Mus musculus: one gene and its partner. The protein of the gene in region 2 purifies or fractionates together with the protein of the main gene of each other region. This does not show direct contact. Links are inferred from orthologs where the notes say so. Each region holds a gene or a part of one and is shown on either strand. Other genes may lie near its edges. The genes, in order: Cox6b1 and Uqcrb.

Evidence for each region.
Region 1: the proteins of Uqcrb (region 2) and Cox6b1 purify together in Homo sapiens (affinity purification with mass spectrometry; 3 studies listed by BioGRID and IntAct, counting the BioPlex papers as one, with this or other methods). This does not show direct contact. The link is inferred for Mus musculus from reciprocal best matches to the Homo sapiens genes UQCRB and COX6B1.

Annotation. Positions count from the first base shown.
Region 1 is NC_000073.6:30,623,221-30,627,813, forward strand, and holds the start of Cox6b1 (cytochrome c oxidase subunit 6B1), read right to left. Parts: upstream 2,895-4,593; 5' UTR 2,831-2,894; intron 1,394-2,830; 5' UTR 1,386-1,393; coding exon 1,280-1,385; intron 296-1,279; coding exon 195-295; intron 1-194. UniProt on the Homo sapiens protein: Component of the cytochrome c oxidase, the last enzyme in the mitochondrial electron transport chain which drives oxidative phosphorylation.
Region 2 is NC_000079.6:66,902,441-66,906,873, forward strand, and holds the start of Uqcrb (cytochrome b-c1 complex subunit 7), read right to left. Parts: upstream 2,911-4,433; 5' UTR 2,872-2,910; coding exon 2,853-2,871; intron 362-2,852; coding exon 290-361; intron 1-289. UniProt on the Homo sapiens protein: Component of the ubiquinol-cytochrome c oxidoreductase, a multisubunit transmembrane complex that is part of the mitochondrial electron transport chain which drives oxidative phosphorylation.

The DNA of each region.
Region 1 (4,593 bases), on a different chromosome or scaffold from region 2:
CCAGCCCAAGCCTGTGTTTCTTCAGTGCATGGGCAAGGAGGGTGGTCCTGGGCTAAGGGCCCTCACTGAGCAGGGATCAGTGACATTCCATGGCTGGTCCTCGCTTGACCCTTGGAGGTGAACTCTCACTAGCCATACTCGTCTCTGCTACCTCCCTACCTGACCACCCAAGGGTCCCGTCGGGAGGCACATACCCATGACACGGGACAGAGGGACTTGTACACACGCCGGTACCACTCACACACGGAGACATCACCCCCCTTGGCCGTCATTGCCTTCTCACAGCGGTGGAAGTCTGTGAAGAAAAGAGGTTCCAAATCAACCCCGACTAAGCACATTTCAGAGGAAAATCCACAAATGCTTTTTGCTTTAAGATTGCTTATACATACAGAGGGAATGCAAACTTACAAGTACACCATAAAGAGCTATATACGCCTGACCTGGGCAGTTATATAGAACATTCTGGAGCTAGGAATGACAGCAAAGTATGAGGGGCATATATCAGAATTATGGAAGTCCAGACAGGGCTAGGGAAGGGGAAGGTAGTGTTGATCATATCTGAGGAAGACAGGACAGGTACCAGCGGGGTTTTTAATTCTTGTTAATGGTTAGTTTTTTGTTTTTTGTTTTTCTTTGTTGAGGGAAGGTCTCATGGGCTCAAGTAAGGCAGGGGCCCCAAATGTCTCTAGCAAAGAGAGAGGAAAGGGACAGTGTTTAAGACCGGGCCCAAAGCAAGCTGAGAGCAGAGTACTGGCAATATTCATTTTTATCCATGGATTGTGACTATGTCTGAATCAACTTTTTTTTTAAAGATTTATTTATTAATATATCAAGTACACTGTAGCTGTCCTCAGATGCACCAGAAGAGGGCGTCAGATATCATTACGGGTGGCTGTTAAGCCACCATGTGGTTGCTGGGATTTGAACTCAGGACCTTCGGAAGAGCAGTCAGTGCTCTTACCTGCTGAGCCATCTCACCAGCCCCTGAATCAACTGTTTACATACTGTATTTACTTGTATGTTGTGTGTGTATGTGGCACACACATAAGATGTATATGTAATTCATATATACATGTATAATTATATTCTTCAAAAAATTTATTGTTGAGACCAAAGTTTATGACCTGGAGAGCTAGTTTGAGGGGTCGGGCCCTCCAGAGGGTACGTCCAGAGTGAAGGAAACCAGGCTGGAACGCACATGTCCCTGCTCCCCAACTTCCTTTCTGAGGTTGGAGGTACATGGGAGACCCAGGCAGGCCCACTATGGTACTCTGCTTACCCAGGTAGTTCTGCCAACAGTTCTTAGTCTGGTTCTGGTTGGGGAAGCGGCTGTCAAAGGGGGCAGTTTTGTAGTTCTTGATTTTAGTCTTGATGTCTTCAGCCATCCTGACTCCTGGATGCAAACAGAGTGGGAATGTTGGCAACCATTCTGGAGGTGCTGGGTGTGGGGATGTCAGGCCAGAGCAGAATAACAGGCTGAATGTGAATAAACCATTATCTCCCCCTTCTTCACAAACACAGAAAGATGAAGGGCAGGGAAAACCCATATATCTGAGTACAGAAGCCACAGTAGGGTTGGACAGAGGTCTCCTTGGCAAAACCAATCTTCATCCTTAAATTCCAGTTAACGCTCACTGTGTGCACAGCACATACTATGTGTACTCTATACATACCTACCCCATGGCCACTCTAAAAGATATTGCTACCTCTGTTGTCTACACAAGGGACAGGGTGTCTAAATGACTTTCCAAGGTCACACAGCACCCAGTGATAATGCTTCATCCATCACCAGCAAAAACACTGCAAGGATTTTCTGGTGTCACCGGCTAGTTTTCTGGCGTCACACACTCATCTGAGGTCCAATGAACTCAAACTTTGCTCAGAATATGCCTAAATGCATTGTGGGATTGCCTAAGATGTGTCCCCCCCCACCCCGCTCCAAAAAAAAAAAAAAAAAAAAGCTCAAAGGACTTAACAAGTAAAGTACAACTGGAGGTAACCATGACTGAAGATTTGTGACTCTTGTAACTGGCATGTGTCAGGTATCTGTGATTTTGCCTGCTGACAATGGCCCAGGCTACCAAATCTATTGACGTTGCTGCCTCCATTCCTAATGGAAGTAAATACTGGAATTCGATTAGAACCCCACGCAAACCGCCCCCCCCCCAATCATTCAAATACTTTAGCTCCTTGAGTTTTATCGACTTCTCTCAGCTTTGATATGTCTGAAGAGATGACATAGTCAATATCAACAGACCTGAGAGAAACTGTCTCTAGAGCATCTGGGGGACCTTGACACCACAGAGGTGCCAGTGTCAACTGAAGTAGTCCAAACAAGTGGGGTATTTGGGCAGGTTCATTGAAGGAGGCAAGGTGGGCACGGGGGATTTAAAAGACTCAGTGTCGGAAGTAATTTTGGACAATATCTCGAGTTTTGAGAGTTGATCAAAGATGACGCTGAGGGGAAAGACACGAGTCAAGGCGACAGGCTTCGGCCTTGGAACGCGGGTGGCCACGCCTGTGAACTCGCAACTAAAAGCTCCACAGTCCAATTTACTGGGTCTAAATCCGAATTGCCTTATAGCCACGGGTAAGGCGCTTCACACTCCAGCCCCAACGCTATCAAAGGGGACTTGTAGGGCTGAAGGATGGAGTAATAGGGACTGCTTAGAAAGCGACCTAGCCATCATGAAGAAAGGCGGCTATAATGGTTAGCTCCAGGACACCGGACCCGTGGCCGCCGGAAGTTTCTGCTTGGCGTCAGGGAAGCCCCGGGGCGCTTCTCTGCAACGGACAAGGTTCCCCCAGGATCCCGACCCTTCACACTCACCTAAAGATTGTCCCGGAGTAGCGTTACTTCAATGTGACCCTTAGCAAAGACGCCAATGTCAGACGGGAAGCGGAATTCCGACTGGCCGGAAGCTGCGAGAGGAGGAGCCGAGCTGAGTCCTCCGGGCTGCTAGATTGGCCTCGGGAGGCGTGCCCAGAAACCGCTTTGGCCACGCCCACTTCCGAAGAAGCCCGACCTCCTATTGAGCTAAATTTCTGCTTATTATTGTTGCTGGGCCAATCGAGATTTTACTTTGCTCTTAAAAGGCACCTGACGTTCAATTATGGGTTATTATCACCTGCCTGTCCTTCCCAGAGGGAAAAGCATAAGACTGTCTTCAGAGTGGGAATGGAAAAGTGTCACAGATAATCTGTGTTTTGAAATAGGACTTCGCTGTATATCTCAGACTGGCCTCGAAATTTTGATCACAGATTACTAGGTGTTAGGATAACAAGCGTTTACCCCTGTGCCTTGATTCGAAAGTTATTTATATTTATTTATTTGGGTTTTCGGGATAGACAATCTTAGTTTGTGTTTTATTGCAGTGAAGAGACATCATGTCTACGGCAACTCTTTGTTTGTTTGTTTGTTTGTTTGTTTGTTTGTTTTTCGAGACAGGGTTTCTCTGTATAGCCCTGGCTGTCCTGGAACTCACTTTGTAGACCAGGCTGTCCTGGAACTCACTTTGTAGACTCAGAAATCCGCCTGCCTCTGCCTAACTAGTGCTGGAATTAAAGGCATGGGCCACCACGCCCGGTTTATGGCAACTCTTATAAAGGAAAACAATTAAGGGCTGGCTTACAGTTTCAAGTTTCGTCCATTATCATCATAATTGGAAGCAATGTGGTGAATTGCTCTGATCCTTGAGGGTTGCTGTTTCTGCTGCTTTTCTGCATAAACTGGAATCCAGAAGAAGTAGGCTCCAAAGGAAGTACTGGCAAAGCAAGTACCTGTCCCTTCTTCCATTGTCCTTATATAGGCCTCCAGCAGAAGATATGGCCCAGAATAAAAGTGTGCTTCAAGACCTGTAGGAGTCATTCCTCCTAGAGGTCTGGATCAAAAGCCTGTGTCTTCCAGCCTTAAGGTCCAGATTACAGGCATGTTGTCTTCCTGCCTCAAGTCCGGATTACAGGTGTTCCCTATGTTTCTGGATTATAGTTCATTCTATATATAGTCAAGTTGATAATTGAGAGTAGCCATCCACATAGGGGTTCTCTGTGTAGCCCTGGAAACTCATCTATCTATCTATGGGTGTCCTAGAACTCACTCTGTAGGCCAGGCTGGCCTCGAATTTTTATCTGCCTGCCTCTGCCTCCCCGAGTGCTGGGATTAAAGTGCTGACATGGGTTTAAGTTAATAGAAAGTTTTTATTAGGTCTCCAGTGATTACACTAGGTGTTTGGGATCTTGGTGTAGCACCAAGCCCTTTTTAGAGTGAATTTTTACACACAAAACCTGTATTCTGGATTGACATAATTCAGTTCATAAGATAGCTAGCTGGACAGTGGTGGTGCACGCCTTTAATGCCAGCATTTGGGAAGTAGAGGCAGGAGAATCTCTGAGTTTGAGGGCAGCCTGGTTTACAGAATGAGTTCCAGGACAGCTAGGGCTACACAGAGAAACCCTGTTTTAAAAAAGGGGTGGGGGGCTGGCGAGATAGCTCAGTGGGTAAGAGCACTGACTGCTCTTCCTAAGGTCCTGAGTTCAAATCCCAACAACCACATGGTGGCTCACAACCACCCTTAATGAGATCTGACGCCCTCT
Region 2 (4,433 bases):
ATATGTGCAACTGATAAATTTTTTAAAGGCATAAAGAACTCAAATTTATACCAAGAAACCCTAAGATCTGCTGATGCTTCCATTCGGCTTCTAGACCACAATGTGAAGTTCACTGCTAAGTAGACAACACTAAGTTCAAACACCACATAAAGATCAAAAATTCAAAAACAGTTTATTTTTAAATCTGATACACACAAAAACAAATGATCTCTTTTGAACTATAGGAATTCTTTAAAAGTACTGAATTCAGGGAGAACAAGAGAAGGAGGACCACAGAATGGATACTCACCCAGTTTATTGAATCCTGCAGCATTATAATACCACTTTCGAAAACCATCCAGCCACTTGCTTGATGCTGAAACTATAATTACCACAATGTTAGTTGCTACAATATACTTACAAAGCAATAGACCAATTGGTAAAGAACCAGTTATCTTATAAACCTAAGAATCCCCTTGTATACAATGTAGATAATCATTTCACTCATGACACTGTGGGAACAAATGGTAAACTCAAAACTAAAGGTGCCTAATAGCCACAGGTATACTTCCTGCCACTTTGGGTTCTCAGAGTCCAACACCCTTCTCCTGCTACCATAAGAACTGAAGGACCAGAGACAGGAAAGGATCTGAAGCACTTCTGTCTTTTGTAGCTGCGGAAATAACTTTTTCTTTTCCAAGGAGGTGGAGCTATAAGATTTCAGGTTAAGTGGCAGGCCTCTAGTCTCCAAAACTTTTAGTTTACATTGTCTTATTTGGCTATCATCCTTAAAATTATAATTTTACATAAAATATAATTTATAATTATTTCTAGAAAAACTTTCATACTATCAGCTAATTTAAATACCAATATATTAGTAAAAGAAGCCTATTTTCCTTTTCTCAAACAGCAAACTGTTCGTCAAGGGAATAATAGTATTTGAACATGGATAAGAAGAAACATTCAATGTTAAATTTAAATCTCTTAATGTAACAAAGCATGCCTGTAATCTCAGCATGCAGGAAGTTGAGACTGTGAATACCAAGCCTTGTGTAAACAAACAAACAAACAAACAAACAAACAGAGATACAAAAACTAAAATAGGGGCTGGGAATATGGTTCAGCCTTAGAGTTCGTGCCTAGCATGCAAAAAACTCTATTCAAAAACAAACTTAAACCATTTGGGGAAGAAGACTGAGCCTGAGAGAGGTAAAGGAGAAGAGGCAAGGAAGCAGGAGAGTGCCTGATGTTGACCAGACGTGGTACAAGAAAGAAGATAGAGCAAGCTTAACCTTTCTTTTTAAAATGTGAGGGGTAGGGGAGGGAACATGTGACTGCCAGAGGACGTTGTCATCCTTTTCATTTTTGAGATGGCATCTCTCACTGGCTTGGAAGTGCCAAGTACATTAGGCTAAAAGGCCAGTGAACCCCAAGATCACTTGTTTCCTTGTCTCCAGCTCTAGGATTAAAAGCATGGATTAGGGCTACTGAGACGTGTCTCATATAATGGAACTCAGTTTATTTAAAAAGAAAAAGCTCAACAAACAAAATGGGTTCTGAGAACCGAAATCAGGCCAGTATTTACATTGCAAGGCAAACTTTTTACCAACTGAGCTATATTCTCAGTCCCTAAGCGTTAAGGCTACTTTCTTACCATAGAAGGAAAAAGAGGCTCCCTTCTTATTATCTCCTTCTAATTTCCTAATCCTCAGTACAGATTACTACATGGCTTCCTCCAACCTTTAAATTAGAAGTCATGCATAAAATTGTTTCTAAGAGAAATTTAAATTGTCAAGGGCTAATGCTCAGTTGGTATATTGCTTGCCTAACATACACCACAAAGCCCTGGGCTCCAACTCCAGCACTACATAAAACATGCATAGTGATTCATTCCTGCAATTCCAGCATTTTTAGGGTGGAGGAAAAAAGAATCAGAGGTTCAAGGTCATTCTTCAATACACAGCTAACTTGGGCTACCCTGGCTCAAAAAATAAAAATATTAAAAAAAAGCATAAGAACTAAATTGTTAACACAGCAGTGATTATAATATCGATTAATATTTACTTAACAAATGTGTCAGGCACTACTCTGTTTGCCACATTATAGATCAAAAGCCTGTTGCAGAAAAGGAAGCTGGCTTACGTAAGTATTAAACTCAACAAAACAGAATACTTTTCCTAAAATTGTGTCAAATGGGTAAAATTAATGCCTTCAGAATTTCCAGGGACTGTGAGAAGGTTATCAGTATTGTTTTTAAAGACTATTCCAACGTATACCATCAGTGGGCAAAGATTAAGCTTTAAAAAAAAATAGGAGGGGAGAGGGTGAGTAATATTTGATGTGAAAACATTCTGGCACTCTATCTCAAATTTGTTCTAGTGCCTACATTAAACAAAAGTCCTTACAGCCCTGCAGCCCCAGCTCACCGTCCAGATATGCCAAGGTTAACCTGAAACCTCACTATAACCCTATCTTACTTCCTTTTAATTCTTCTGACAAGTCTTAGGAGCGTCATGCGGGCTCGGGCGCTGTTTGCTCCGATCACTGTCACTGAAGTGGCCTGCGCCTGACTCCAAATGCTCCCCACTACTCGCTGTGGCTGTCGTCTGCTGACCTCCTCACCTCCCTAAGCTGTCCCAAGGCGGAGGGGAAGGAGGCCGAACCCGGTCAGCCCCGCTGGGCTCCTTCCGGCAGAGGTCCCTGTTCTAACCCTCAGGCAGGCCCGACCTGGCTCAGCGAAACCTGTCCTTTGAGCTGCTGGGTCGCCACGTCTCTTATCACAAACTAGCTATTTAGCTAACGCAAAAGGAGAACAAGTTCGTGAGAAAATACAACCGCTCCACGATACCCACAAAGGAGGAGTAATTACTCACCAGCAGATCGGCCCGCCATTTTGACCTGAGAGTGAAGCGCTGCCTTCTGGGTAAGTCCTAGAGGACACGCCGGGCTCCTACGCAGGCGTCCTGGATACTTTAGGAAGGGGAAGGGAGGGGCAGGCGCTGCTCTGACCGCCAGCAGAAGGCATTTACTCTTTCCTACCTGAATGGACTCCACACATTAGGCTGATCTTTTTGTGTGCCTTGTTACAAAAAACATTCTTCGCGACACAATGGGGAAAGTACTGCGAAATTAGGAGACAGTGTTATTCAATGCTCTGTTATAGGAAAGAACCTTTGCGGAATAAATGGAGTCTTGGAGACAGGTAATGTAGTAAATGATTTTCAGGCAAACCGCATCTCAAAATGCATGGAGGGGATGCTAGGACGCTAGAGGACGCTTGATGCTCAAATTCTTTATGTCAAATGGTGCGGTGTTTTAATATAATGTATACACTATTGCATTCTTTAAATCACCTCAGGATTACTTTAATACAGAATATAAAGTAAGCACCACACAAATAACTGTTATACTGCACTATTTTGGAAGTAACACAGGTATAATGAACATTTATAGTTAACACAGATATACCCCTTCCCGATCTGTGGTAGACTCAATCTATAGGTCTGCAATCTTTGGGTTCAGAAGTGTGGCTATATTCTCATTTAATTCTAAATCATCAGTGTAATTACTGGTGCTATCAGTATTGAAGAGAGAAGGAAGCTGAGCCTCAGAAAAGTTCAATAAGTTATCCAAGGGCATTGAAATTGGGTAGAGTCCAGGTTTGTTTGTTTGTTTGTTAACTAGAATTGAGAAATCCAGTTTCAAATTCGGGCTTCCTTATTTCTAGGATCATATGCTGCACAACCAATCCCAGATAACTTTCAGCTTCTAGGCTTCACTTTCCCCACCTAAAAATCCCTATCAAACAATTTTAGTAGAAAGTTAGGTTGGATAAGCTTTAAAAATATTAACTTTAAGGTAGGAGTAAATGGCACATGCAAGATCCAAGAATTCAGTAGTCTGAGGCAGGAGGATCCCTGCAAGTTCAAGACTACAGTTGTCTACATAGTGAATCTGGCATCAGTCTGCAAGACCTTACCTAAAACAAAACAACAACAACAAAACCCCTAAGATATATTTAGAATTTGCATATAGTATTAAAAATGGAGCAAGCAGAAAGACTATAGACTGTGCTTTCAAGATCTCAACCCCAACAGGTAGAGTCTAAAATAAAAAACTAAGGACAGAAAGTGGAGTTACTGTTGAGTTTTACTATGACTCGATAGTGGTCTTTTTTTTTTTTTTTTTTGAGGTAGATACTATTTATTATTTCTTGGTTTCCCTCTCATTGACATCAACTATCTTTTCTGAATTTTGGACTGGATTTAATGTCAAAAATACAGAAATGAGCTGGGCAGTGGTGGTGCACGCCTTTAATCCCAGCACTTGGGAGCCAGAGGCAGGCAGATTTCTGAGTTCGAGGCCAGCCTGGTTTACAAAGTGAGTTCCAGGACAGCCAGCAGGGCTATACAGAAAAACCCTGTCTCAAAAAAAAAAAAACAAAACAAAAAAAA